Elephas maximus indicus: one gene and its partner. The protein of the gene in region 1 purifies or fractionates together with the protein of each later gene. This does not show direct contact. Links are inferred from orthologs where the notes say so. Each region holds a gene or a part of one and is shown on either strand. Other genes may lie near its edges.

Evidence for each region. Proteins that work in one complex are often made in the same cells at the same time.
Region 2: the proteins of USP4 (region 1) and EDC3 purify together in Homo sapiens (co-immunoprecipitation; 3 studies listed by BioGRID and IntAct, with this or other methods). This does not show direct contact. The link is inferred for Elephas maximus indicus from reciprocal best matches to the Homo sapiens genes USP4 and EDC3.

Annotation. Positions count from the first base shown.
Region 1 is NC_064838.1:53,785,868-53,793,133, reverse strand, and holds the start of USP4 (ubiquitin carboxyl-terminal hydrolase 4), read left to right. Parts: upstream 1-4,213; 5' UTR 4,214-4,276; coding exon 4,277-4,377; intron 4,378-4,405; exon of another isoform or gene 4,406-5,500; intron 5,501-6,362; coding exon 6,363-6,490; intron 6,491-7,266.
Region 2 is NC_064831.1:64,765,406-64,773,109, forward strand, and holds the start of EDC3 (enhancer of mRNA-decapping protein 3), read right to left. Parts: upstream 3,043-7,704; 5' UTR 3,021-3,042; intron 2,883-3,020; exon of another isoform or gene 2,700-2,882; intron 2,665-2,699; exon of another isoform or gene 2,180-2,664; intron 1-2,179. UniProt on the Homo sapiens protein: Binds single-stranded RNA. Involved in the process of mRNA degradation and in the positive regulation of mRNA decapping. May play a role in spermiogenesis and oogenesis.

The DNA.
Region 1 (7,266 bases):
AGGACTGTAGTTTCATCCTGATCTTGTTATAACACCCAGTCAACGCTGTTCTCGGTGCTGCTTAAGTCAACTGGAAGGGTAATCCTTCATGTATCGCACCTAGTGCTTTCACTTGTGCAACAACACCTTGCCTTCTAGAAAGCTTGCTGGTTCATTACCCCAATCCCAAGGGGGACCCTTTTTTACCAGTTGATAGAGTGGTCTCAAGCACTGGTCCAAGTGGGTAATAAATACTCTCCAATACCCCAAAAGACCCACAAAGGCCTGCACTTCTTTTGGTGTCGTGGAAGGGGGGGAAAATTTATATAGTATCATCTATGGTTTCCCTAGGAATTTTACCAATGTTTCTGGCCCCTGCACCTTTTGGGGATTCACGGCCCATCCTCTCCCCTGTAGGAGAGTGATTAAGATGTCTAGACAGTCCTGTAACAGAGAAACGTCTTCAGCAGTTAACATAACATCATCAGTGTAATGAAACCAACAAATGGTAGCAGGAGAGGGGAAAAAAGCCAGATTCCAAGCAACCAAATCATGGTATATAGTGGGACTATGTAAATACCATTGGGGTAGCACTCAGAACGTCCATTGCTGTCCCCCTCAGATGAAGGAAAACTGGTCCTGAGCAGATGGGGCAAGAAGGATGATAAAGAACACATTGGCCAGGTCTCTACTAAAAGTTTCCAAATAGGAAGTTACATTTGGGACTGCAGCATGTGTAGGAGGGATCGCCTTGTTCTCCATAGTACACAGTCATACTCAATGACCCATCTGACTTCTTCACAGACCATACAGTGCTGTTAAAACCACAGCTGGGCTTTCTGGGGGATTACCTACCCTTTTCAATTCCAAAACGATTTCACTGATTTCCTTACATCCTCCAGGCACCTTATATTGCCTGATGTCTACCACTCTTTGTGGTGGAGACAGGACTACTGGTTCCCATGCTGCTTTTCCCCTCAAGACTGCTTCTACCACCTTCACCTGCAGTCAGAATTCTCCCACAGATGTGATCAAACTTAGTCCCATGAGGACATCCACTCCTAGAATGTATTCTGGTATTGTGGAAACACAAACTTCATACAATTTGGGGGTAGTACATTCTACTTGTAGGGTCAGGAGTACCTGATGTATGCAGATGGACTTTCCACCATACCCATTGTCTTTATTATCTAGTGCTGCTATAACAGAGATACCACAAGTGGATGGCTTTAACAAAGTGAAGTTTATTTTCTCACAGGCAAGTAGGCTAAAGTTCAAATTCAGGGTGTCAGCTCCAGACAAAAGCTTTCTCTCTGTGTCAGCCTTCTCATCAATCTTCCCCTGGACTAGAAGCTTCTCTGCGCAGGAACTCCAAGTCCAAAGGACACGCTCTGCGCCTGGCACTGCTTTCTTGGTGGTATGAGGTCCCCCTGTCTCTTTGCTGGCTTCTCTCTTTTATATCTCAAAAGATTGACTCAAGACACAATCCAGTCTTGTAGATTGAGTCCTGCCTCACTAACACAACTGCCATCCATCCTCCCTCATTAACATCATAGAAACAGGATTTACAATATATAGAAAATTACACAATACCAAGAATCGTGGCCCAGCCAAATTGATAGACATTTTTTAGGGGACATAATTCAATCCATGACACCTGTCAATTGCCAAGGGGGGTCCTTGAACCTGTTCAGGGTTTCCAAAGATAGGGGTGCATTCTGCCCCTGTATTAACCAGAGCTAGCACCCCACTGCTTGTTTTGTGACCTCTACATGGGGCCTCTGGTCCCCCTGCAGGCCCCTGACCTGCAGGTTACCTCAGCCCCACCCGTAGACCTTAGGGATTGGCAGGATCTACCTGGTGGCAAGGGGCACTTCTTCACAGGGGAAAGTGAAACCCAGAGGGCAGTATTATTGCTCTGGCTTCAGATTCTTCCAAAGATTGACCAAAACTGCATCTGGTTGTTTATCTGTCTTTTCTACTGTGGTCCTGGCAGCCACTAAGTCCATCCATATCTGCTTCTGGGTTACTTCCAAAGGGCCCTTGGACAATTGTCTTAGAGGCTTTTCAGCTTTTCTTTTTTCTCTTCCCATAAGGAAGCAGGCAGTGGGATCCAGAGGGTGGTATAGTTGCTCTGGTTTCAGAGTCTTTCAAAGGTTGACCAAAACTGCATTCAGTTATCTTTTCCACTGCGGCCCTGGCAGCCACTAAGTCCTCCCATATCTGCTTTCGGGTTACTCTCAAGGTGCTCTTGGACAGTCACCTTACAGGGCTTTCAGCCTTTCTTTTCGCTCTTCCCACAGTGTGCAGCCCCTTCTCTCTAGCCCTGTCAGTTTCACCTAAGTTGGCTATGGCTTCTCCCACCGTAGACTGCCTGGCCCACTAGGGACGAACTATAGCCACCAGTGTTCTGTACCAGGCAGGCAGGGCTGGCTGTTGGATCTTTCCTATCATTCCCACAGTAAACAGTTCATTGTCTGGTCCCCAGAAGGGTTCGGCATAAATGGCACATACCTAGCTCCCATATTAGTTGCTGTAATCGACTGTACTAGGAAGATCTCCCCCATTTGCCCATGCCTTTCTACAACACAAGATGATCCAATTACAGAAAGTGTGTATGCCCTCTGTGTTCTGAGCTGCATGTAAACACTGTCGGTGGGCGGGGTCAGTGGTAATATAACCTGTTTTTTCTGCCTCAGCTGCCTTAAGAAACACTGTCTCCCCTGATATCCCACAGATATAATAACCAAGCTGCAATGGTTTCCTTTCCTTTGTGCTGGAATTCCACATACAATTCAATCAACTCAGTGAGGGTGTATTCCTGCATTGTCACAGAATTGCTGGGTAGAATTTCTTGTCTAGGGTCATCCCGCTTGCAGGTAGTTTTTATCTTATGGGAGGGGAAAGCCATGCTCCTCCTCTAATATCACCACCACCTGAGTCACTACCAGGCTTGTCATCCCAAGAATTTCATGTTTTCACTTCCCAGTCACCTTTCATCAACATTGCCCTGATCTTCACATTTGGCACTTTCCTTCCCCCCTCCCCCATCTTTACAAACCTGCAGGCAAGCATTTCTAGTTGCTCATCCTGTTCGTGGACACAGCTGCTCAATATGTTAGTCATGGCCACGTGCGACTGCCGCATATCCCTTTCCAACTGTTACTCTTCCTGCAAAGCTCCTATGTGTTCTTCACCAGCTAGCTGGGTGTCAGTGGCCAGCCGAAAGGGCCAGACCAGCGGCCACCCTATGGCCCCTACTGTTTTCCTAGCTTCCGTTCCACACTTACGAAGGCGTACATCTTCCTGCAACCAGGCTATGCCGCTTAGCATTTTCAGGGCATCCCTACACTCACCGGGAGGTCCACACACATCAAGCATACAGCCAAACCGTTCCACATGGAGGTTGTTGGCCAACCTGGGATTTCCCCCCCAGAGGCCTCACTCCCACTTGCCATTTCTTCAGTCTCTTGGCTGGCTCGCTAACTGTCCTGGCAGAGACCAACAACTTAAAACTTGTCTTCAAAAACGGAGGGTGCTTGCTGAGAGCGGCAGGCAACTCCAGAGTGCCAACAAAGGAGTTTCTTAGGGAGACTTACATGCGAGGAACGTCCTGGGCAGCAGCATGACTAAGCAGATCTCCTCGCCCCGTGGTGGGGGACAGGGCTTTTCTAGCGGTGGCGAACAATAGTGGCTACATGCCAGGGACGCCTCTAGACTTACATAAGACCGCCTCGGCAAGAATTACAGAAGAATGACTTAGCAAACGTTAGTGAACTAGCAGAAAGCAGGAGTGCGGCCTCGCAAAGCCTGTTTCCCCTTCAACATAAAAGATGGCAACGTTGCGGGTCCCGTGCCACAGCAGAAGCGAAAGTGAGAAAATCTAGTCCTAGGGCTTCTCAAACTCAACTCCACATTTACTCAGGCCCAGGATAACCCCTCAGGTCAGAATGAAAAACGCACGGGGTCGTGAGGCCCGCCACCTGACGGACTGCGCGGAAACACAGAAAAGAGGGGCGGCGCAAAAAGCAAGCGGCAAGGCAGGCGGAAGCGGCAGCTCCTTCGGCTTCTACCCCTTTTCCGGCCTCCTCCCGGCTCCACAGCGTCTGTGAGACACGACGGCGCGGCGCGTGGGGGTGGGAAGAAAAGAAAGAGGCGGGCAGGCGCGCGAGGCGGTGCCGCGGGGCGGGGCTTGGGCGCGTGCACGTGTGTGCGTGCGTGCGTGCGTGGGCGCGGCTCGCCGCACGCTGTGCGCGAGGCGGATGTCCGGGCCGGCTGCGCCGGGGCCGCGGATGAGATGGCGGAAGGCGGAGGCTGCCGTGAGCGACCGGATGCGGAGACCCAGAAATCCGAGCTAGGTGCCTTGATGAGGACCACGCTCCAACGGGGGGCGCAGTGGTAAGCTGTGGGCCCGCCCTTCTACGGAGCACAGCTGGGCGCAGGAGCCCCGGCATTCAGGCCCGGCCCCTTTCAGCTTGGGGAGGAGCCGGACGGGGGCGGTGTCTGGTGATCTTGAGAGGGTGGCCTGACCCCCGCCCCTTGGGAGAGGAACCCTGAGATCGGTACTGGGAGAGCGCGGCGGGACTGGAGCTCATACCGGCCCCTTCAGAGCCCTAGGGGGCGGATCCGCGGGGGCAAGGGCTGCAGGATGGGGAGGAAGTGGAGTGCTCACAGGGATCATGAGGGTGGGAAGAGCCCTGTGTCATCGAGGACTCCCCTTGTGACCCTGGGCGAAGACATTCGCTCTTTGTAGACATTGGTTCCTTACTAGTAAAAGCAGGGTAGCAATACTTGGCCCACAGCCCTCACTCAGTTGAGGCAAGGATCAGAAGTAGATACTCGTAACTTGCAAACTGCAGAACAGATGTCAGGGTCAGAAGCTGAACAAATGTCTGTGAGCTCTAGATTATTTTGATAACAAATGTCAGAAATAATTGTGGTAGCAGCATATTGGAGTGGGAGAGGAGGGTGGCCTGGAGCCTAGAGCTAGATAGAAGATTAGAAGTACAGAATTTAGAAGAACAAAGAAAGCTGAGACACGAGGTTTCTTAATAGATTGTTTAGTAGAAAAGGCATTACCTTCCAATAGTGGAGAGATTACTGGGTGGTATTGTGTGGGAGTAGAAAACAGGTTAGGGTTTGCAAAGAATAAGAATGAACTTCTGCCTTTAAGAAACCATGGTGGTGATGATAATGTCATTTATAGTGATAGAGGAATTGAGTTCAGAATAGAAATATTGAGGTTAAGAGGAGTTCAGATACAGCTTTACAGTGTTTATCTTGAGCTAGCCAAGTTTTAAAAGGCAGAGCAAGCAGAGGTACTTTGGAAGTTATCCTGTTTAGGGGTGATACATGAAAAAGAATACTCGGTGGAAGGAGAGGGAGTTTACGATAGACTAAAATCACACAAAAAGTTTGTGGAGGGTATTGCTTAAGGGGTTTGGAGAGAAAAGAACATTTAGAAGTTTGGATATATTTGTGGATCCTGTGGCCTCTGGGAAGCTGCCTGATCTTCTCTAAGGTTTGTTGGTTACAAAATTTGAAGAACTTATGAATATTTGTGTTTTGTTGCCCCACAGAGGTTTCTCCCTCCTTCTGTCTTAATCATAAAAGTGATACTTTAAAATATAACCAGGTTTGCTTACTTTTCTTAAGTATAAAAAACAATAAGTTAAATATGAAACACAGTTTCAGAATTTTTGATAAGATGAACACAGTAGACACTAACTTTATGTAAATGTGTATATATATACATGTTTGTTTACATGTGTATATGTGTACTAATTACACATATAAGTATAAATTGTATATATATGCATATGCGTACTATTTTAATGGGTATTAGAGGAAATTATTTGTTATAGTCTAGTCAGATATCATCAAGGAAGGAAGAAAAGGAGGTGCTTTCACACATTTTTAATATCTTGTTTGGTCCACTAAGGAAATCTGAAGTAGGTGGAACTATTATCCCATTTTCAGAAATGAAATCAATTTAATGCTGTTCACATTAAGCAAAGCAGTGCAGCCACAAACTGTCTGCCTGGATGAGGACCTCTGTAGAAATCGTATGGAATTAATGACCGGTTGATCGCAAACAGGATTCTACCCATAGAAAGACTTAATTTAAATAAACATTTTGAAGCCAATCATTTCCTCCCTTCCATTCATTCATTCTTTTAAACAGTCATTTCACTTAAGGGATACGTGCCCTGGGCCATGCCCTCAGTGCTGTGTAGAGCCTGGCCCTGCTTCTGCTCTTGAGTCTGTTTTTTAATGGGGGTTGTAAGTGACCCAAAAGGAAAGACCAGAAAAGAACGAGGGGATAGGCACAGAAACTTGTAATGCCAGCTTTTCTGCCACAGTAAGTTTTTGTCTGTCTCTAGGTATCTTATTGACAGCCGTTGGTTCAAGCAATGGAAGAAGTATGTGGGCTTTGACAGCTGGGACATGTACAATGTGGGTGAACACAACCTGTTTCCCGGCCCGATAGATAACTCCGGACTCTTTTCAGGTGTAGTATCCTATTGCTTTTTTAGGTAAAATGTCTACTTGGGCAGTGGCCCGAAGGTGTGTTTATCTGTAACATGGACTTTCCCAGCATGAGGAGATAGAAATAAGTATCTTCGATTTGTGTGTATATCAGAAGCCTGCAGACCCTCCGAGAGAAGTTGAACTGCTTTATTTCCCTAAATTAACTGCTTTTAACAAGAGCATGCTTTTAGCATTTTAAATTTCTCTCTCTCTCTCTCTCTTTTTTTTGATAAATTAGCTCTGCTAGAGATTTCAGCTTTTAGATTGGTATACGGGATAGAAAGAAATAGGATATCATTTTGAAATTGGACCTGGAATCTGAAACTTGGAAACCAGAGTTTTCTGTGTCACCTTTGCAGTTGAACAAATTGTAGACGGTCGATGTTTGTCAGGTATTCTTGTGATAACAGTGTTTGTCATAAAAGTAGAATGAAGAGAGGTGGAAGGTCGGTAGACAGAGTTGTGACCACAGTCAGCTCCCAGTGGGGACTATGGAAAAAATGATGCATGACACACCTAAAATTGGCTTGCACCTGTAGATGCACAAAGATGAGAGAGTCAGCCTTCCCAGGCTTTGCTCTGCCTGACTTCAGACTTGCTCACAGGCAGGACAGAGGTTATCTGTTACCTGTGCCCAGAATCAGGGCAACAGGAAGGCAGACCATGTATGAAGCTTGATCCAAGTACCTAACAGTAGCCTGGATATTTTTAAAAATGAGCAACACTGCAGCTCACACTTTGTCTTAGGGTTGGTCT
Region 2 (7,704 bases), on another chromosome or scaffold:
GGCATTACGGCCCTTGAAAATCATACTGTGAGGGCCACCTCTTTTCTCAACCAAACAAAAATACAAAAATGTCTGAATTCACTCTCCAATATCCTGGAAAGAAGTCCCAGTTTTCAAACTAGAATATGCATATCTCTGGGGGTAAACAAAGTTTTCCAAGAGATACGAAAGCACGGGAGTCAACTTCCATAGGAAGCCCATTAAAATCCGTTGCCGTCGAGTCTATTCCAACTCATAAAAAAAAAAAAACTTTTTTTACTCATAGCAATGCTCTATCAACCCTACAGGAGAGAGTAAAAATGCCTCATATGGTTTCCAAGGAGTGCTTGATGGACTCAAACTGTCCACCTCTTGGTTAGCAGCCATAGCTCTTACATTACACCACCAGAGTTTCCCTCCACAGAAAAGGGGTCAGTAAACTACAACCTGTGGGCCAAATTTGGCCGACTGTCCCTAAAGTTTTATTGGAACACACCCATGCTCATTCATTTGTGTTTTCTCTATGGCTGTTTTCACACTACAATGGGAGAGCTGAGTAGTTGTGACAGAGACAATAAAAAAAAAAAAAAAAAAAAGAGACAATATGGCCCACAAATTCTACCATCTGGCCCTTTACAGAAAAAGCACACAGATCCCTGCTTTATTCATTTCAGGAATGAAGGAATTTCAGAAATGCGAGGTTGGTCTAACATTTAAAAATAATGTACGCCATTTCATACATACCTTATAGTTTTAAAAAAGCTTATTTGTATATTTTTAAAACATCGTATTCCCAAAACTTTTTGGGAAAAGTGGAATGGGTACAAGTTCAAAAGAAAAAGGAAAAATATAAAATGGACAAATTCCCAGAATGATACAAATTACCAAAATTGACTCAAAGAAAACCTAAATAGAACTCTATCAAGTAAAGAAACTGAATTAGCAATTACAAATCTTCCCAGAAAGAAAAGGCCAGGTCCAGAGGACTTCGCTGGTAAATTATATCAAACATTTGAGAAAGAAATAGTACCAATCCTACACAAACTCTTTCAGAAAACAGAGCAGGAGGGAACGCTTCCCAACTTCCTTTATGAGAGTAGTTTTATTCTGATATTGAGACCAGACAAAGACATCATTAGAAAAGAAAATGTCATCTAAAGTACAATTAAAAAAAAAAAAAAAAAGTCAGACCAATATCCCTCACGAACATAGACACAAAAATTCTTAACAAAATATTAGTAAATCTAACTCAGCAACATATGAAAAGTATTATACACCATGACTAAGTGGGGTTCATTTCAGGAATGGAAGGTTGGCTTAACATCTAGTAACACTGCTCGTCTGGTTGATACGAACAGAAATATGACACATCTTCCACTTTGCATTAATTACAGGATCTCACGAATGACAAGGATCTAAAATATTTTCTAGTCCCGTGTTATTCAAATTACAGTTCATGATCTATTAGAGGTTAGAGTCAATTCAGCGACTTGCAACTTTTTTTTTCCTTTTAATGAAATAAAAAATGTCAAAAGGCATCACCTGTAGAAAGGATAAATAAACTTTTGTTGTGTGTGTGTCTGTGTGTGTGTGTTCCTGCTCCTGTGAGCAGGGGGCACACTGAGTCATGATGTAAAATGTATCTAGTTGTGGGTCACAGGTTAACAAAGTTTGAGAGATACTTTTCTAGCCTCACAGCCCTACCCCTACAAGGAGACTCCACCAAAATACTCTTAGTAATCAAAAGGGCATGTTCTTTGCAACTATTTTCACTTCATACAGAGAAACCAGCAACTGGGAAAGAGTTCTGTGCTCAGTACACCTAATTTGTCTTTCATATATAAAGATTAAGATCCCTTAGAAGTTTCCGTTTGAAACACTGATCTGCTCAGAGACACTTACGTTTTGGTGGGATTAAAACCTATACTTGGCAGACATCCAAATGAAGTTAGTTTAGTCTGTGGCTAGGGAAAAGAACGAAAACCACTCTGGTTCTTAAGTTCCTCATCTGTAAGCAGAGGAGAAGACTGCTAAAACTCCTTCTAGGCCTAGAATTGGAAGATAATTCAAAAGCAAGCGGCCAAATCAGCAAGGACTCTGCCTCTCACACATCACAGCAATTTAACTACTTAACATGTCAATTATTGATAAGCACAATCAATATCACAACAAGTACTGGTAACAAGAACCGCGAACTTACACCAAGGGCAGGAAAAAATCGAGAGGGAAGTTCCTGAGATTCAGCAGAGGATGCGCCGTAGCGTGTATCATTAACTTCTCAGCCATCCTTGTCTCCCAGACCCCGGCTCACCTCTGTCCTCAAGCCATCAGTTCATGGGTATGGCACTCTGCTCTTCCCTGCTCCCCTATCCCACTGTGCAAAAGGAAACTGAAGCACGGAGCAACGAGTGAGCTGCAGCAGCCACCAACAAGGCTGGACTAGGACCTCAGGCCGCTAACGCCTCCTACCTCATGCAAGCCATTCCCAGGCTATTTAGAATCCGCTGTCCTCGGCCACCCACCTTAAACCAAACCCCATGGGCAACTCCTAGTACCTGGCCTCCATATCATTCATACCGATGCGGCCTCCAGCTCCCACCCACCCCAGTAAAGCTCTATAAGGCCTGGAACCCCGAAGCCTGAAGGCAAACACTGCTGGCCAACCACGGAAGCCCCCGACCACGGGCGCTCACAAACCGGCCGCCTCCCCTCGCTCCCACCTCCGCGCCGTCCAGCCGCGCTTCCTCCTCACTTCACACTGAGCCGACGGCGCAACGCGGGAGGGACCCAAAGACTGAGGGGCTTCTTCTCCGCACCGACCCCCAGAGCCACGGCATCCGCCGCCGCCACCGGAACCGCCCGGGCGTCTACACGCCAACAGCGTGAGGTCACTTCCGGCGCGACGCCTTGGAACTGGGGGGCGGGCGGTTGAGGGTGAGCGCCCGGGAAACTTGAGAGCTGGGGAGACCGCGGCAAGGGCTGGCCATGCGGCCTCCCGAAGTCGCGCCTGGGCGGCCATTTTGCGTGCTCCACGTACTTACTTACATCGGGTGGAACCCTCGCTGGAGTCGGGGTCCTGGTTCTCCCTTCCCCAGCCCCGACGCCTGGGAAACTCCGTTTTCCTTTGTAGGCTCTAAGAAAAACTTGGGCTTCCTCACCCACCGCTTGCGCCAATCGCCAAGCTTGAGCGAAGGACTTTCGGGGTGCCTGATGACGCGGGACCCCATCCTTGCTCTGTCGCAGCTGTAGGATTCAAAAAGTAGGTCAACCTGAGGACAGGTTAAAGGAAACAAGAAATTCCTTCCGCGGCTAATCCTCAGAGTTTATTAGCTCAGCCCTTTTGGGGAGTTGGAGTCAGCCTCTCTACGCTTGCTTGCCTGTCCCTGTCTTCCTCCTTCCCCTCTAGCCTGTCCTGGTACACAATAAAGTGTCACCCTCCGTTCTCCTGCCTTTGGCATTTCATAGTCTTAGCAGTATTAACTTTGAAAAAAAACATGGCTTTAGGGCCAAGACTAAGTGTAACGAGGAGTTTTCTACCTTAAAGTTTGCAAGGCATCCTTAAAGCCTGACGCCTGGTTTGGGAACCACTGTTTGTGCAGGCTGCATGGACTAGGGCAGTGGTTTCCAAAACTGGCTCTACAAAATCAGTTGAGGAACCTTATAAAACTTTTATTTTGCAGGGGATCCTCGCCCCACCCCCCCACCCCCAATCGCAAGAGATTCCTTTTTAGTAGGTCTGGAAGGGTGCTGGCATCTATTTTTTTAAAGGTTCTCTCCAGTCAATTCTGTGCATACTCCAAGTTTGGGAGTCATTGCTACATCAGACCCAGGGTTGAATGCTAGCTCTTTTTTTTTTTTACAAACTATACCTATGAAACACAAGATAAACTGGAGATGATAGCTGACAAAGTTGCTGTGAAATTGAATGAATAATGTGCACCTGCTCATAGTTGATATGCCTAAAAATGTGGTTAATTCTCTCGTACATTCCTTTGGTTAGGGTTTTATAGTCTACTCCAAACAAGTTTTTAAATTCACAAGGCCCAATCTTCAATCATGAGATTATTCTTTACTGCAAGCATTGCTGTAGCCACAGGGGTCAGTTGGTTATGTGATGTTACGTTATGTTACGTTACATTATTATGTTGTGTTATGTTATGCTCACCATTACAGACCCATCCACCACTTGTCTGTCATTTTGGTATACTGTGGTGGCTTCTGTGTTACCGTAATGCTGGAAGCTATGCCACCAGTATATCAAATACCAGCAGGGCCACCTATGGTGGACAGGTTTCACTGGAGCTTACAGACTAAGACAAACTAGGAAGAAGCACCTGGCAATCTACTTCTAAAGAAGTCTACGAGAGCCAAAGAATAACCTTGAGCATATCCCACCAGAATTTAGAGACCATCTCAAGAAAGATTTGACACATTGAACACTAATGACCGAAGACAAGACGAAGTATGGAATGGCATCAAGGATATCATATGTGAAGAAAGCAAGAGGTCATTAAAAAGGAGAGAAAGAAAAGACCAAAGCACATGTCAGAAGATACCCTGAGACTTGCTCTTGAACATAGAGTAGCTAAAGCGAATGGAAGAAATGATGAAGTAGAAGAGCTGAACAGAAGATTTCAACGGGCAGCTCAAGAAGACAAAGTATTATCATAAAATGTGCAGAGACCTGGAGTTAGAAAACCAGAAGGGAAGAACACACTCAGCATTTCTCAAGCTGAAGGGACTGAAGAAAAAAATTCAAGCCTCGAGTTGCAATACTGAAAGATTCTATGGGCAAAAAATTGAACTGCATAGGAAGCATCAAAAGAAGATGGAAGGAATACACAGAGTCACTGTACCAAAAGAATTGGTCAATGTTCAACCATTTCAGGAGGTAGCATGTGATCAGGAACCAATAGTACTGAAGGAAGAAGTCCAGGCTGCACTGAAGACATTGGCGAAAAACAAGGCTTCAGGAATTGATGGCATACCAGTTAAGATGTTTCAACACACGGATGCAATGCCAGTAAATTTGGAAGATAGCTACCTGGCCAGCCAACTGAAAGAGACCCATATTTGTGCCCATTTCAAAGAAAGGTGATCCAAGAGAATGTGAAAATTATCAACCAAGATTATTAGTATATGCAAATAAAATTTTGCTGAAGATAATTCAGAAACAGTAGCAGCAGTACATCAACAAGGGACTTCTAGAAATTCAAGCTGGATTCAGAAGAGGACATGGAACAAGGGATATCATTGCTAATGTCAGATGGATCTTGGCTGAAACAGAGAATACCAGAAAGACGTTTACCTGTGTTTTATTGACTATGCAAAGGCATTTGGCTATGTGGATCGTATCAAGTTATGATTAACATTGCGAAGAATGGGAATTCTGGGACGCTTAATTGTGTTCATGAGGAACCTGTATAAACCAAGAGGCAATTGTTAAAAACAGAACAAGGGGTTACTGCATGGTTTAAAATCAGGAAAGGTGTGAGTCAGGATTGTATCCTTTCACCATACTTACTTGATCTGTATACTGAGCAAATAATCCAAAAAGCTGGACTATATGAAGGACGTGGCATCAGGGTTGTAGGAAGATTCATTAACAACCTGCGATATGCAGATGACACAGCCTTGCTTGCTGATAGGAAAGAGGACTTGATGTACTTACTGATAAAGATTGAAGACTACTGCCTTCAATATGGATTACACCTGAACATAAAACAAAAATCCTCAACTGAACCGATAAGCAACATCACGATAAACGGAGAAAAGACTGAAGTTGTCAGGGATTTCATTTTACTTGGATCCACAGTCAACATCCGTGGAAGCGGCAGTCAAGAAATCAAACAATGTATTGCATTGTGGGCACATCTGCTGCAAAAGTCCTCTCTGAATTATTAAAAAGTGAAGATATCGCTTCGAGGACTAAGATGTGCCTGACCCAAGCCATGATATTTTCAGTCACCTCGTATGCATGTGAAAGCTGGACAGTGACTAAGGAAGACTGAAGCAGAATTGATGCCTTTGAATTATGGTGTTGGAGAAGAATATTGAATATACCATGGACTGCCAGAAGAACCAACAGCTCTGTCTTGGAAGAAGTACAACCAGAATGCTCCTTAAAAGTGAGAATGGCAAGACTTCATCTCCTGTACTTTGGACATGTTATCAGGAGGGACCAGTCCTTGGAGAAGGACATCATGCTTGCTAGAGTAGAGGGTCATGGAAACAGAGGAGGACCCTCAACAAGGTGGATTGACACAGTGGCTGCAACAGTGGATTCAAAAATAGCAATGATTGTGAGAATGGCCCAAGACAGGGCATTGTTTTCTTCTGTTGTACATATGGTCACTATGAATTGGAACCGACTTGATGGCATCTAACAACAGCAGTCCCATCAGCCTTGCACAGGGCATGCCTTATAAAAACAAACAAATCCATTGCCATTAATTGAATACCACTTGTCTTAGTCATCTAGTGCTTCTATAACAGAAATAACAAGAAAAACAAGTGGATGGCTTTAACAAAGAGAAGTTTATTTTCTCACAGTAAAGTAGGCTAAAAGTCCAGGTTCAGGGTGTCAGCTCCAGGGGAAGGCTTTCTCTCTCTCGGCCTTCTCATCAGTCTTCCCCCAGACTAGGAGCTTCTCTGGGCAGAGACCCTGGGTCTAAAGGCCGCACTCTGCTCCCAGCACTGCCTTCTTGGCGGTATGAGGTCCCCATGTGTCTCTGCTCACTTCTTTCTTTTATGTCTCAAGAGAGTGTCCCAAGACACAATCTAATCTTGTAGGCTGAGTCCTCCCTCACTAACGCAACTGCCCCCATCTTCCCCTATTAACATCATATAGGCAGGATTTACAACATATAGGTAAATCACACAATACTGGAAATCATGGTCCAGCCCAATTGATACACACATTTTTGGGGGGACAGTTCAATCCGTGACATCACTCATGTCAACCCTGTATGTTACAGAGTAGAACTAAATTCATAAGATTTTCTTAGCTGTAATCTTTACAGAAGCAGATTGCCAGGCTTTCCTTCTGCAGTGCTGCTGGTTGGTTTTAAACTGCCAAGCTTTTGATTAGCAACTGAGCGCAAACCGTTTGTGCCACCTAGGGACCTCCTGCCTCATAGTAGATGTTAAAATAAGTGTTGAATGTATGAAGGAATTGTCCTAAGGCTTCCTACATAGACTTTCCCCAAGGCTCAAACTGAGAAGTTCTAGGCACCTCTGAAGTCCCAGCTGGTGAGCTATTAAACCTTGGTAAAGCAGTCAGCAACTGCCTTAATCCACTATCTGCTCTGTCAGCCCTGAAGAATTGCTTGATTTAGAGAATTATGCTATGTTGTATTTTGACCTAGAATTCATGGGCAGATCAATCACCCAGTGTGAAAAGCATTGTTGAGTTTCTACTGTGGCCTGAAGGGTGTGACAAATAATTTCATAATTGGGAAGGGAACATTCTTTCTCTAAACTGCGTCTACATTCTCCAGGGCTAGTCATTCTGAGAATTGAGAAAAGGATTGTTTCTGTTTCTGATTGAACACAGAAAAGTCGTTCTCGTTAAGTTCATTTGGAAACCAAAAGCCAGTGGTATTCTACGAAGTTTGTTAAAAATGCAGATTCTAGTCCTCCCTCTGAGAGACTGATTCAGTAGGTCTGGGGTAGAATCCAGGAATCCAAGAAACAAGAGCCAGGAGAATAGCATGTCCTTTGGAC